Linked DNA regions of Rhinolophus ferrumequinum. The protein of the gene in region 1 purifies or fractionates together with the protein of each later gene. This does not show direct contact. Links are inferred from orthologs where the notes say so. Each region holds a gene or a part of one and is shown on either strand. Other genes may lie near its edges.

What was found. The genes of interacting proteins can lie anywhere in the genome.
Region 2: the proteins of PNMA2 (region 1) and PKN2 purify together in Homo sapiens (affinity purification with mass spectrometry; 3 studies listed by BioGRID and IntAct, with this or other methods). This does not show direct contact. The link is inferred for Rhinolophus ferrumequinum from reciprocal best matches to the Homo sapiens genes PNMA2 and PKN2.

What each region holds. Positions count from the first base shown.
Region 1 is NC_046301.1:40,887,825-40,895,624, forward strand, and holds the start of PNMA2 (paraneoplastic antigen Ma2), read left to right. Parts: upstream 1-4,787; 5' UTR 4,788-4,923; intron 4,924-4,939; exon of another isoform or gene 4,940-5,035; intron 5,036-7,640; 5' UTR 7,641-7,800. Other genes in the region: DPYSL2 (dihydropyrimidinase-related protein 2), read right to left, coding at 4,073-4,426.
Region 2 is NC_046292.1:66,923,503-66,930,973, forward strand, and holds the start of PKN2 (serine/threonine-protein kinase N2), read left to right. Parts: upstream 1-4,460; 5' UTR 4,461-4,562; coding exon 4,563-4,610; exon of another isoform or gene 4,611-4,638; intron 4,639-4,820; exon of another isoform or gene 4,821-4,935; intron 4,936-7,471. UniProt on the Homo sapiens protein: PKC-related serine/threonine-protein kinase and Rho/Rac effector protein that participates in specific signal transduction responses in the cell.

The DNA of each region.
Region 1 (7,800 bases):
CCAGATGGGTCTTAGGTATATTGGAATCCTGAACCATAAATGTTCATATTTGTGTCTCCTCTTTCGAAACAATGTGGCCTCTAAAGTATCAAATTAATGCCCTTGTTCTAGGCTCCCAGCCAAATCTCTACCACACATCCTGCTAACTAGGCATTCATTTTGTTGAACAGGCTAATCTATTATCAAACACATATCTCTGGGGACAACTTGTGTATCAGTCATTCACGGAAGCGATGGATGCCTTGAATCATTGGGATTTCTCTCTAGCTAAGATTAACACAAGGAAGGGATTTTGAATGAGAGAAGGGAGGGCAAAAGGGAAGAGAGTGATTTCAGAACTCGTTGCTTTTGGAGGAAGAAAGCTCTAGAAGGGGCATCGCCATCACAAAGGGGCAAGGGTAGCATTAAACATTAAGAGGGCAGCAGAGTCCCTGGGCACCCAGGGCTGAGAGCTCATCAACATGGGGAGAAAGAATGGAGACATAGAATGGAAAGGCATATCAGAAAGTGTTTTACAGACTTGGTGGTTTTGTCAAGTTCAGCAGCACTCTCATGTAGTTCCCTGACTGGCACCTGCCCCCAGAGAAATGGACAATCAGTCCCCTACTACCCTACTCTATGTAGGCTGTTTGCTGCAGGGAAAAGGGCCTGGGAGCCCCATTGGAAGGGATGCTCATGATCCAGTTTCCCTGGTGGGACAGCTGGTTCTGGCTAACATGTGTCTGAGGTAGAATGGAGGGAATTCTTAGGTGGAAGGGAGGAGGCTGAGGGACCCCTGGGCACTAGCAGGAAAGAATACAGCCAACAGTAGTGTCCTTCTGCTCTCTATTGCAAGAGGCTCAGAGTCCCTAACAGGTGGTCACCAATTTAACTGCACTGCAGCCCAAGATGGACTTCCCCCAAGGAGACAAAGGGAAAAGAGAGTAATGTGATAGAAACTTTCCTCATTTGCACTCATGACACTGGCTCTTCCTTTCACCAAAACCTAACATCCCAGCCCAAGCCACACCGAGTGCTTTCTGGTGCTGACTTGTTGACATTTGCATGCTGGGATACATGCAACTCAACATCCCCTAGTCGCCCATAAGCCATGTGGCATCCAGGCTCTGGAGGCGTGTTCCCTCCCTTCCCACCACCTTACTAGAGGAACAGCAGAACTCCTAGGGTGGCAGGTGGGCAAAGCCCCTCTGCATGCATTAATAACACCTATAAACACAGATTTAGGGAAGGAGGAAAGATGTGAGATCCACTCACTCTAGTGTATCCCCCCACCTCTCTATGTGCCAGGGCTTCAGATAAAAACATACTAAGATATTGGCTGTCACCCTACTCATTAGCTGAAAACTACCGTGTTTCCCCGAAAATAAGACCTAGCTGGATCATAAACTCTAATCCATCTTTTGAAGCAAAAATTAATATAGGACCCAGTCTTATTTTTCCGTAATATATTTTACTATATAATATTGTATATATTATTATATAATATTTTACTATAAGACTAGGTCTAATCTAACATAATATAATATAAGACCGGGTCTTATATTGATTTTTGCTCCAAAGGAAGCATTAGAGCTGATTGCCCAGCTAGGTCTTATTTTCGGGGAAACACGGTAAGTAATGGCTACCTGATTCAGTCAAAATGGTGGGCCCAACTGTACTTTTGGAAATCACCATTGTTACACACACACACACACACACACACACACACACACAAATGGCTTTTGTGTCTTGAATAGTCATGAAATATTCAAACACTGTTAAGTACTGATCCTGGTAAATACTCTTAGTCATGAATGAAACAAATCCCAAAGGAACAGCCCTTACATGATAAGGCAAGATTGAAAATGAAAATTCAGGGAAGGCAGCAGAAAGACCAAGCCAGAATCACCCTCTGCAACTAATAACCAGGCAACTGAAGCAACTTTGGGTTTCCAGAGGCTAAAACTGCCTAGGGTTTGGTTTCCTCTTCAAATCTCCCTCTCCATGTGCTCTAGGTTTATCGTTCCTATTAAATTTAGAAAGTGTTCAAACAAGTAACTCTGATGATCAAATATTGGAACTTCTAAATGCATAGAAAAAGAGACGTGTTATTCAACCCAGTGAAACTTTGCCTTTCAAATCTGAGTTTTAATTCACTGCCATCATTATCAAGAAGACCACTGTCAACCAGCACCCCTTGAGCGGCCATTTTTAAAAATGATCTCTTCCTTATCGTGAGGCATTTCTCTGCGCCCTTTAGGACATTAGAATTACCAGCACAACTTGTTTAAGAGGAGGACACTCACACAAACGTGTGAGTGGCACTAGAGGTTCTGCTGTTCCTGCTATAATGATCATGGTTTGGCCCTCACCTAGTGTATTCACGTAGGAAAGCATTTCACACTCACCCAGCTTTCGTTTTAAGTTACATTACTAGAAGCTTTTACTTCAGCTGTCTGATCACTTGGTACAAAGTAAGTTTTCTGGATTAAGTTCTTCTGGTTGACTGATAGTGAAACGCGGATATCCGGTGACCCCTCCCCCATATGAATAAATCAGAGCACAGGGCTGGGAGAGAAGGAATTAAGTAATTAGTTGCCCCCTTTTGAAAATGACAGCAGATGGTTTACCTTTCCTAGAATTGGTCCAACAAAAGTGAAAAGCTGCAAAATTCTATGCCACATCAGGAAAGAGCAACATGTTTGTGCCATGAGCACCAACTCTTCGTTGTTCTCTGATGTGTTCATTAAAAGCACATTGTCTGAAGCCCCGGCAAATAAATGCTTGTGGAATCACTCAGTGACTATGTATAGGCCACTCCCAACTACTCTGAAAGCCCCGTAAGAAGAAATCACCTTGAACTTTTTCTATATAGCTAACTTCCCCCTGCCCCACAAGGCAAGGCACACAATAAGTATTCAATAAATAATCAATCATTGACTGATTTCTCATTTTCACCAATGGGCCTGGGAAAGAAACAGCAAACAAATGTTGAAACAGTTCACACTGTAATTTATCAGTTGAGGAATTAAGGCTCTGGGGGGGCTAGAGGGAATGCACAAGTATGAAGGTCACCCTGATAAAGAAAAAAAAAAAAAACAACTGTGGTGTGAGAAGACGACTGCTCTTAAAATGCACGCTGTTCTTATTCGCCAGAGATGACGAACATTTTCTAAAATCAAGGTTTACCAAATTGGTCCTCTTTGTTTCCCCATTAACACTGTATGGAGGGTGCCAATCCATCTTTGACACTGGATCCAAAATGTGAAGGTTTTTTTCCCCTTTTCTTTTCACTCTTTGAACATAATCCACTTGGTCCCTATCCCCAAAGCGCCTCCCACATAGGGCGGGTTGGGGGGAGCACGCTGGGAAGCCCTTGCTTTAATACTTAGCGGAACTTTGTTCTCCACATGGGCTATTTAGGAGCGTCTGGGTTTCTTCGGGGGACTCCACCGCCTGCCTGGTTCTTCTCACGCAGCACACTGGAGTCAGGGTGATGAGATTCTCCAGGGCGGTCCGGGAGGCGCTGACCATGGTCCTGGCCTCCAGCTCAGGACGCGAGCGCGGAAGGCAAGGAAGGAGATGCTGTAGGAGAGCGCGCGCAGGGCGCGGCGGGGAGCAGCCGTCGAAGCCCCCGCCCCTCCTGACCCCCAGGGAGCCCGCCGGCCTTCATGCAACCCTCCACTGCATGCCCAGAGCTGCATCCAAAAAAGGGTGGGGCACCCAGACACAGTTGCCATCGGAAGGCGCCCGGGAGGATTTAAGAAGAATGGAACCGCGGCCCATCCCCATCCCCCACCTTGCGACCCCCAAGCAGAGGATCGGCCGAACCTTTACCATCACCACCCATCAGGCCCAGGAAAGCGCGGGCAGCCTTTGTGGGCGCACGGCTGCCACAGTCAAGCCCGCGCCTCTCCATACCTTTCGCGGAGAAGGGGCGGGTTGGGTGGGGTGCGTGTACATATGCGGGGAGGGGCAGGACGGTGGGCACGCTGGGATGCTCGGTTCTCCACCGAGCTGTGAGGGGGGCGACGGAGGGGCGATCTCTGCGCCGGGTCCTCCTTCTCAAACACCCCCACCACCCAATACCAACCTGGTCGTAGATGTTCTGCAGGGCTTCCTTGCCCGAGGCCCGCCGGATCTCCACCTTCCGGCCGGATTCAACAGATGGCTCCCCACCCGCGCGCCGGCCCTGCCGGGAGTACGGTGGCTGCGGGTCGGGACCCAAGTGGGCGACGTCCCGTTGCTGAGCCACCACCTGCCCCGAGCCCCGGCCCACCGACAGTGAGTCGAAGTCGATGGTCTTGTTCTCCGAGGACCCTTCTACCGGGCAAAACATGCCACAGAATTTCTGCCGGGGCTTGGGGCTGCCTGAACCCAGGTTTTTAAAAAAGGCAGGGACCTCTTCGTCCTCTGCCGCCTTCCCGGATTGCTTCCTCTCGGCCATGGCGCGGGGGGCTCGGGGAGGGTCCTCTGCGTCCGCCCGTCCGTCTACGATCCCTAAGTCTGCCTCTCTGTGCACAACCCTCTGCAGCGGCTGCCGCTCTCTGCCTACCGCAAGGTGCACAGAAAGGAAGGAGGGCTGGTGAGCGGGCGACCCTCCCTCCCGGTCCCTCCCCCTGACCCCTCTTTTTCCCCTCCCTGCCCACGCCCCCCGCCGCCACGCGAGCTCCGGCGAGCTGCAAAGTTGGGTCTGGGAGGGCGGCCGCTGCGGCAGCGGGAGTGACAGGCTGCCTGCGGGTTCCCGGCAGCTGCAGGCGGAGGGAGGTGCAGGCGGGGCGCGGCGGGGGCGGGGCGAGGCGCTGGGAGCTCCGGCCCGAGCTGAGCGCAAGGGAGGGGGGGAGGGTTGCACCGCCCAGAGCCCCGCGCTCCGGAAGTGAAGCTGCCAGACCACCGGCTAATGGATGGGGAGCGGAGGGCCCGCTAACAGCTCTCGGCTCCAGGGTGAGTATGGGATAGGCACGCTGGGCGAAGACCCGAGGGCGCAGCCAGCCCCTGGCCCTCGCGCCCTTCTACCTACGCGACCCAGGCGCCTCTCCCCCACCGCATTGCGGAGGTAAACCGGGGGCTAGGGCCCTTTATGGGGAGGGCTCCCTCCTCTTACCTCGGGCATGAGCTGATGGATGAGGAAAGGGAAACAAACTGGCTGGCGACAAGACACCGGGGGAGAAGGGAAGAGGCCGCAGTGAGGATGGGGAGGGAATGGCGCAGGCCGTGCGGAGAGGTGGGGGCCATGTCCCGATGCGCGGGACACCAAAGCTTCAGTCTACCTACGGGCTTTGGAGGGCTGTTGGGGGCAGAGAGTGAAACGAGAAGGTTCTCGCTCAGTGCATCCACAGTTGTGGAGGGCGCACAGCACGGCAGGGAGAAATGCAGAGGCGGAGCAAATGGTGGTGGATGTGGGGTATAAAGAGACATAGGTCTGCGTGCTGGCGAGTGTAGCCAAGAATACAGTGCAAATTCCGGCCCAGCACAACTAATACATAGAGAGGGTGCCTGAGGGCGCCACGTACCGTAATTGCGCCACTGCGCCACGAAGGGCCCAGGAGAATGTTCTGATTTGGTATCTTATGCCCCCACCCTCCAAAGGGAGGGAAAGGCACAGATTACAATCCACTCCCCAAATCTCCAGCCCTTACTTGTCTGCCTCCCCTGTACCCCCGCCCCTGTTGCGCACTGCGCCAGAGCCGCGTGCGGGGGCGGTGGGGTGGGGGCATATGTGCCCGCGCAAGTCCAGTGTGAGGTAAGAGATGGGGCTGTGACTGAATGCTTTGAATTGTATGAGGCCAAGCAGGGTAACGGTGTGCGGAGACGTGGTTGTGTATGTGCGGGTAGACCAGGCGCAGCTACCTGGTTGGTGGATATCCAGAGAGCGTTTTGATATGTGCCAACAACACCGTCACTGAGCGCGCTTCATTGCTCACTCCCATCCCCACGTACTTTCCTTGTATCAGTCTTTGCCCCTGGTCGATTACAGCCCCGCCCCTTTTACTACGGTGGCAATATCCTGCAAAGACGATGCCCATCCTTTGGTGGTTCTAGAGGGAAGTCTGGGCATGCTCAGTAACGAGGGTGGGTTTGGGCTAAAAGAGGCTGTTTGCCGCCCCGGAAAGTGTGACCAAGGATTCTGTCCCATTGTCAGCTCTTGCCCTTATTAGGATTCGATGTGGATACTCTCCCTCAACCCAAATGTGAGGGATAGTTTGGTGAATGGAGTTAAATTTGGAGGACCACCAGTCACAGTTTGAGGAAGAGCCCACCATGATAGGTGGGAAGGAGTCTCCTGATGAGAAGGGGAGAAGGAGGAAGGAGAACGATACACGTGTAGGGAGCTGAGAGACCCACAGGTGGACATTCAGACTCAGCACCAGATGTGCTTCTAATTTGAATAAAGTGCTTCCATACGAATTACATCATTTCCTACTTACGGCAGCCTGTGAGAGGAGTGCTTTTCCATCACTACTTTCCAGGGTAGGAAACAGATTTAGAGAGATTCAGACGCCTTGCCTAAGGTTACTAATTAAATGATCCAACAATCCCAGTGGGGGTCTTCCACCTGAAAGTATGGTCCCTTTTCCAAATTATCCTTATGTTAGAAAATACAAAATTTTTTACATTTTTTCCATATCCAAATATTTCCTTCCGTGGACTTACTGTGTATCAAAATTGGTGGTTCAATTGCCATCTTTTTATTTGACAGTTACCTTGCAGGTAGGGACTGCATTTGGAGGAAGAAGCCATGGTAGTTGTTCCATAGACCTTGGAAATGTTTCTTCCTGCACATTTGATGCCTTTTTACATCTCATGTTTCCTCTAAAACTACAACGTGAGAGGAAGGTCACCCCCACATTGAAAGGGAAAGGGAGGCATGGAGAAGTCACTGGGCTCAGATCCATGAGGCTGCTGGGCCAGGGCATTATCCATCATTTTGCCCTTCTGGACCTCGGGCACACTCCATGCCGCCAGCACCTTCCAGAAGGACTGAGGAAATGTGCCTGTAGCAGGAATAGCTGCCACGATGGCTACAGGTTGGCATCTGTGGCATATGGACCTCACTCGGCTTGATGGAGAGTTTCAGGCCTAAGGAAGAATGATCATGGCCGCTTAACACACGCGGTACAACAGAACTGGGAGACTTTAGGAACGCTTCCCTTTTTACATTACATTACCCACTCTCCACTGGCTCTCTGTAGATATGCTCTCTCTTTTCCTTTTTTCCTCAAATGATCCATTCAAGTTCAAATGCTACAACAATACTGTCTTATTAGTAACTTAACATTCATAGCAAAAGAAACACCTATTTGTGCATTTGCCTAGCCTGACCAGACATAACAAAAGAGCATGATTCATAATCCAAGTTTAACTTATTTGGCCCTGAGATTTTCAAAAATTATTAAATGTATATTAAATTCTTATACCTATATTATTATATTATATTAAAGTATATTATATAAGTTGTATTGTTATACTGACATTAATTGGTTTTAAGTATTCGAGTGATTTCTAATTGGACTTTTTTCATCAAAGAACTGAAGCAACTATATTGTTTAGTAGATTGAATTGTGAAGGATAGTCATATTTTTTAATAAACTCGCTGACAGTCTTCATCATTGGATATTATCAAACTATAAAAATACACCATTATTATTTATGTGCAACAGGGCAGCTTGACTTGGCCAGAGCTAAGAAGGATGCAGACACGCCATTGTATGGAGTTGGGTGACATCTTCATATAGTAGAAGCTGAATAAATCAGATCATCGACTCTCATGGAACATTGGAACACATAAACAGGTATCCAGCCACATCTCCTCATATCATT
Region 2 (7,471 bases), on another chromosome or scaffold:
TCCTCATAGCATTTAAACCAATTGGCTTCTCTCCATTTCCAGTGCCACGACCCTAGAGTAAAGTACTATCCCTTTTTGCCCGGAAAACTAAAATGACCTTCTAATTTTTTCTCCCCCAATCTACTCTTGACCATTTCTAATCTGTTGTTCTCCTCACCATGGCCAGAGTGATTTGTTAAAAATGGAAAAGGTATTCAATGATTTTCCATTGCTCCTATGGTAAATTCAAAATCTTAAACATAGTGTGGAACTGGATTACTATTCACCTACATTCAGTGCCCTTCACTGTGGTATCCGTCTCTGTTGGAGGATTATACAGCCGTGCCTCTTGTTGTTTTCAGGCATGACAAAGGTTTGGCTGATGAAAAGTGAAATGTCAGCACACGCTTTAAGAACCAGCAGGTGATTTACCACTTTTCTTTTCTTTCTGCCCTGACAATGGCTATATTCCAAAGAGACACTGCTCCGTCAGCCTGAGTCAAGAGGGAACGTGACATGAAGCAAAGCTATGGAGGGCATGTTGCATGAGAGATAAACCTTATTGTAGGCCACTAAGATTTTTGGAACCATTTGTTACTCAGCATAACCTAGCCTATCCTAACTGATACACATGGTTTATAGGCTCTTGCTTATTGCTCCATCTCATTGCACTGGCCTTTCAGTACTTATACAAGATGCTCTCTTCCATCTTAGAATATTTATCTATGTTATTTTCCCTCCTTGGAAAGTTCTTTACACCTGTTTTTGCCTGGTTAACATATACTCATCAGTGAGATCTCAACTTAACTGTAAAGTACTCAGGAAAGGATTACCTGATCTAAGTTCAAAGTACCTGAAATTCAACTTCTTTGTTATTATGTCTCTTTAAACTATAAATTCCATGAAGACAGAGATCAGGTGTGCCTTGGTAAGCATTATATTCCCAGTAAGAGGAAGGAAGGACTTCTTTTCCAAAGAGTAGCTTTTTCTGCATCTTTGTACATTTGGAAGAAAATGGCCATTCTAGCCCTAGAACCACAACAACTCTCCCCTCTAAGGCCACCAACTGATCAGCGTTCCAATGTTCTATTTCAGATTCTTGGAATCAGAATCTGGTTGGCTAAACTTGCACATGTTCTATCATGGTCCACCCAGAGTTTACTGAAAGATCTAGGTCAAGCAGAATTAACTTGCTACAGAGACCTGTTCTCTGGGGAAAGAGGCAATTCTCAGAGAAAGGGAGGTAGACTGAGTAGATATCTCAGAAAATATCTGCTACAGTCACTATAACTGAGTCCACTCTTCCGTGTTCTTGACTTTGTTTTAATAATCTTCTCAAAACTATCCTCACAGAGTATACAAGGGAACAATCCCTATAAGCAATTTCTTAAGGAAGAAACGGGTGGTGATCAAGTAGTTCTGATTCTGTTTCCCTGAGTTTTGCCTCTCCTTTGGCAGTCTGTTACTTTGATGACCACTGCCACTTCACTGTGATCTCTTAGGGGTAAAGGGCTACTCTTTTAACACTAACATAAAAACAAAACAAAACAAAAAACACAACCATAACAAAACAAACACAAATAAACAAACCCTTCCCTCACTCTCCATAATGCTTTTGGGATAAGCTAGAATTAAAAAAAAAAAAATTACTAATATTAAGGAAGAAAAGAAGGGAAACAAAAACTGCAAGGCAATAAAAACAGGGAAGTTTTTCACAAAGTGAAGTTGTTTTTGACCATTTCCCTGGATATATAGTCCTTGTCTCATTTTACTTGGGGTCTAGGGGAAAAGAGGAACCTTATCATCTGAGATTGTGAATCTGTTTCTCACCAACAACAGAGAAAACAAAAACAAAAATGAAGTTCAACTCTACCAGGATTTTTTCCTGTAATATTTCTTTGACTTTAAAAAGGAAAATAGAAGATAACACTGTCCATCTAATTTTTGTTAACGTTTTGAAACTATTTCTATGTTTGGTGATTTCTACTTCTTAAAGACCTTTAAAATATCTATGAAAAACTTTAAAGGTACCTGCATAAACAGTGATACAATCCAGATATTTTTGAGGTCTTTAACTTCTTACATGGACATGTGTTTAAAAAAGTCTTTCATCTTTTTTATTGTTAATGCAAATTAGAACATAACTTCAGGTGAACTATATTTAGGATTCCCTAAAAACATTTGCAAATAGGGACTAAATATAACACATCTGAATCAACATGCTATAGGTTTCCATAAAACTTTTTCAAGTGTGCTTCGTTCTGATAAGTACGTTCCGTGTTCTATCGCTTTTCACCCCCCTGAACAGAGACTATGAGCTCGGTAATTGTTTTTAGCTTAAATTAAACTAATTTACTACTTAAACCATCACATTTTCCAGGTTATCAAGCAGTTTTTATTTTTTCTTGGTCTCCCTTTTGTATTGTATTACTTTCCCCAGCATAACTAATCTCAGAAATAATTTCTATAACTTTAAAAATGTTTTATGTTTGTTGTTTACACTTATGTATGATATATAAAATCAAAACTATTATCAACATTTTCTTCAGCACTAGAACTATGTAAAGTTAGAAGTCTTTCTTTTTCTATGGTAAATAAATTGAGGGACCATATGCTTTGAGTCACTTTAAATGAGGATTCTATTTTAAAGTACTTACAGCAGCATGATGTAGGTTAAAACTAGCATGGGGTTGGCAATTAGGAGATTTAGGTTCAAGGCTCTATCTCTGCCACTAAGTTGCCATGCTCCTAATTAATTAAGTAAATATGGCTTATTTTTTTTCTACTTACAAGAGTTAGGCTAGATATTTTTAAGTCTCTTCTAGTTCTAAAACTCCATGTTGCTAAAATGTGAATGTTTGTTAGGGAGGGCATTTACATCCTGGCTTTTCCAAGTGTTATTTCATATATTTTAATTGTCATTTTCAACCAAGGCAATGCGCTAAACATATAAATAGTTGTCAAACTTTTTGTTATATACACCAGAAAAATTCTTTATCACACATCGTGAGTTGGAGTTCAGAAAATGTGGTCACAGAACTCCAGACCTTCAACAAATGTTTGTCAAATTAATGCGTAAGACTTCAGAAGACAAAAAGATAAACAAAAGTGCAGCATCAGCCCGGCAGATCTTACATGGAATGTAAGAGAAGTACATAAAAGTATACATGCTTCTTATATATGCCAGCTAAGCCACTCTTCGAGTAGCCATCAAATCAAACATTCCCTACCACTTTCTCTTAAGTAGCTCTCAACAAAGTCATTGTATTTCAGCCTCAAATTACCTAAAAGTAGGCAGTTGCCTAGAATATCCATTCACTGCTCAGAAAAAATAGAAGCTGTACGTTGGAGACTTGATTGGCATTCATGAATACTATGGTGTCAATTTTAAACCTGCAGTTCCACCACTTAGCTATACGTTACTAACTAACAGGTTCGGCTTGGATGTTGACTACACCAAGCAAAGTTGGCTTTTTTCCGTTCGTGGGGCTGACTCTGCCCCACCCCTTTCAGTTTAAATTCAGTTAAAACAATTCAAGAAGCCAGTTAATTAAATTTTAAACTCTGGAGTTCCACAGACCAAACCATAGTAGTTCAGCGCTTGGGAAGAGGCATCTCTCAAAGGCTGGGCGTTAAAAGTTACCAGGGATCGCAAGCCGCTTACATTTCTTAAGAAGAACAGACCACACCCCAGTTTAGCCAGCTGTGCACCTTACTGGTCCGAAAGGCGCGCTGGGGGTGGGAGGAAGCAAAAGGCAAGATTAGTGTCTCGGGTTGATGGGGGTCAGGGGAATAACTTATAAAAGTCTGAGTTCCGAAACTGTGCGTTGTGGAGGTTAGAAAGGGGCTTGTTTACGTTAGGCCTAAACTGCGGCAAGAAAAGTTTCACTGGGGAGAAAACAGAAACAGCGAGTAGGCTCCCGAGTTCTAGCGTTCACCGCGGGGCCGTTAAACGCAGCAGGGAAGAGGGCGGGTTTTCTCCTTCCTCTTCCCGCCTCCCCAGACGCAAGCCTAGTCCTTTCCCCTCATTTTCACTCCAGCCGGGTCCAACCCGCAGGCCCCACCTCGGAGCCGGGTCGGAAGCCGCCCCGCCCCCAGCCCGTCTCCCTCCTCGGGGACCCCTCCGCCCCAAGTCTCCCGCCCGCCGAGGGGCGGCGACCATGGCCGTCACGTGTCCTGGCAGCCGCCAAGTGAGGCCGCTTTTGCGACGCAGTGACAGCCAAATGGTGCGACAGGAGGAGCCTCAGCAGCGGCCGCTGCGCCCCTCACCGAAAGGCTTGAGGCGGCTCCTGGCGTCGCCCAGAGGGAGCGATTGAGCGAACAGAGTCCCGCGCGGGCGGGCGGGAGGCGGCGGCTGCGGCGGCCGGGCGGCGAGGGGGAGCCCGCTACGAGTGCCCTAGCTCCCCGCAGCTCTTCATGAACTGGGCGAAATAAGCCGCGCCTCCAGCAGGGGCTGCGCCTCCATGAATCCCTAGTTTTTGTCTTTCTTTCCCGGCTCCACACCCGCCTCCCCGGGTCCCGTCCCGCCTTCTCCCTTCGCCAGTGGCGGCCGCGTCCAGGTGCGGAGTCCACAGCGGAGCGCAATGGCGTCCAATCCCGAACGGGGGGAGATTCTGCTCACGGAGCTCCAGGTAAGGGCCGCGGCCCGGGCGGGAGGATCTGGCAGAGGAGAGAGGGAGAAAGTGGCGCGGGGTCGGGGACCGAGGGAAGCGGTGCGGCCGCCGCGCCCCTAGCCCGCTAAGTGCGGAAACTTGGGGATGTCACTCGGGAGCCGCTTCCTTCGGGAACTGGATCCTCTCCCTCTTCCAGAACCCTGGCCTGCCACTGCTTTAATTACCTACCAGAGGGACCCCATCTCTGCTTGCAGCCCGACTCTGCTCCCTCCTTGTCCCCGGAGCGGCCAGCTCACCGCCCCCTCCCGGGGTGTCAGAGCCGCCGGCGGACGCCCCTGCTGCCCCCTCTCCCCGACTGGCCGGGCCCCGCCCCGCCTTCGCTCGTACTCCGCTCCTCTAACTCCTTTGAATGACTCCCAAGTTGTTTTCTCGTTCCTCCCCTTCCCCTCAGACTCCGCACAAAGAGCGCCCCCATAACTTCCAGCCCCCAGACAAGTTTTTTCTTTCTTTTCCTTTTTTTTTTTAAACGTGTCTCACAAATGCTGGCTTCACTTCACCAGCCCTCTCCAGGTGACTGCATTTCTTTCCTTTAATGCGACGACTACCTTTTTTTTTTCTTTTTTACTAAGTGATATATATGGTCCCCCTTTTCAGCTACTCCGTGCTCAGATTCGGAAGCTCAGATGCTGATGCTTTTCAGACTTTCATTTTCCCTCCCGTTTGAACACCAGAGAAAGAGCTACAGAAGTTGTTTACAAATGAGAAAGCAGTTGACTGAGGGAAAATGTTGGGCACCACATGCCTGCAGAAGATGAGAACAAATTAGGTCCCTTAATTAGTTAAGTCTATGTCGAGTAGCAATATTATTGTTAACTACTTCCAGCTAAATATTTGATGATGTAGACACGATTTTTATTTTTAGGTCTCTATGATTTACAGGGGGTACCTATGCTACCCCTTTGGGTTTATTTTTTCATTACTTTGGAGTGTTCCACAGATGTTTACATCTGGATTGGAATTTTATGCTTGTATTTTGACTTAAACTTAATTTTGATTTTTTAATGTAGTCGTCTCCTACCTTCCAAAGATTGGAGATAGGAATTAGAAGAAAAAACATAGTTACGTTTCTTTATGTGTGTTAGGCAGTTAATTTTTTTTAAAAAAAGACTGAAATTAGACACTGAGGTATTGATTCTTGATAATGTCAAAAATGTAAGTATTGCAACTGTTTCTAAGTTTTTGCCGTTCAAATGTTCTGTTCGATACCTCCCTATAAAAGATTGCTTTATTGTGCTGTAAGCTTGAAGGCATTGTTATAATACGTGATATTTCCTCCACAAAAACAGAGACTTCAACAAGGTGTACCAATGCACTGTTGCAAATTTGGAATCCTTTGGAAATGCAAAGCTGAATTTCTTATCATTGAACATGTTGCTGTATTTTAATTACTCTTAGCCATATTAGTAATTTAATTACTCTTAGCCTTTTATAAGGAGGTCTTACAGCATACATTTGCTAATGAATGGAATTTATTGTTTTATTAATTTACGTGAACTTTTAAAATGAAGTTTGAGGCGCAATCAGAAATGTTTTCCATTGCTTATTCTTGAAATATGAAAGGTACACTTTGGTTCTGACTGAGAAAAAGCCATGAAAATAGCAGGAGCATTTTCCTTTGAATGGAGTGTCTTCAGAATTATAAAGATTCGGCATCCTTTTTTGTATTTTATCGAAAGTTGGAATAAAAGACACTTATTTTGGCACTGGACCTGAAAATATATTTTCATGTGTATTAAAATGTAGCATTTAGGGACTTTTAACAACATCAGTTTTTACATATATATCCAGGGGATTTTTCTTAGTGTATTTGACCCCCAGTTCTAATAAGTTACTGCAGTTGAACTTTATCGTGTTTATTAAAATAAGTGAGAATAAGATAAATGGTGATAAAATTTGGTTCACCGAGCATATCCATCTATTCAAACATTTTAATTATTTCATTGGGTCAAGAAACTAGTATACAGTAACTAAATATTTATCAAGCTTGCTGGTAGAACCAGTTTTTTAAAAACTTCAGAGTTTGGATTTATTTAAATTGAAAAGTTGTTTAATATGACGTTCTTAATGCTTCTCTGCCAAACTATTTTAAATATTTAAATTGTAATTTATGTAGCAAGTTTTAAAACTTGTGTTTAGTAATTAACTGTTACTTTGCCATATTTTGTCTCAGGAATACCTGCTTCACTCTGAAAGTTACATGTTACCTACTTTTAATGAAATAATGATAATTTATTTAGAAACATTGTATATCCAACATTTTAGAATTATTTTTCAAATTATATTGCAGGATTTGAAATACTTAACTACTTGAGCTGGAATTGGCTTATTGACTTTTAGTTGTGGAGAGACAAAGAAAATCTGAAACCGCAGTACTTTGTCTTGTTTATTACTATAATATTTCTATGGAGTAATGTTTAAAGTACACGCAAGTATTGATGGCTAGAGGCTTCAAAGTGTAAGGAAGAATATTTGCTGTAATTAAAATTAAAATAGGCTGTTTAAAAATGAAAACTTAATTGGCAATCTTAAATTTTTATCTCTTATAACAAACTTTTTGTGTCCCATTCATCTTATTTATTTGTTTAGTGGGAAACTTAATGAAATACTTTTATGAGGCCAAAGAAATTAAAGTTTTTCTTTTTTTTTAGTTAAATTTATTGGGGTGACAATGGTTAATAAAAGTACATAGGTTTCAAGTGTATGATTCTATAATACATCATCTATGTATCACATTTTACGTTCACCACCCAGAGTCAGTTCTCCTTCCATCACCATATGTTTGACCGCTTTTACCATCTTCTACAATCCCCCTCTCCCCT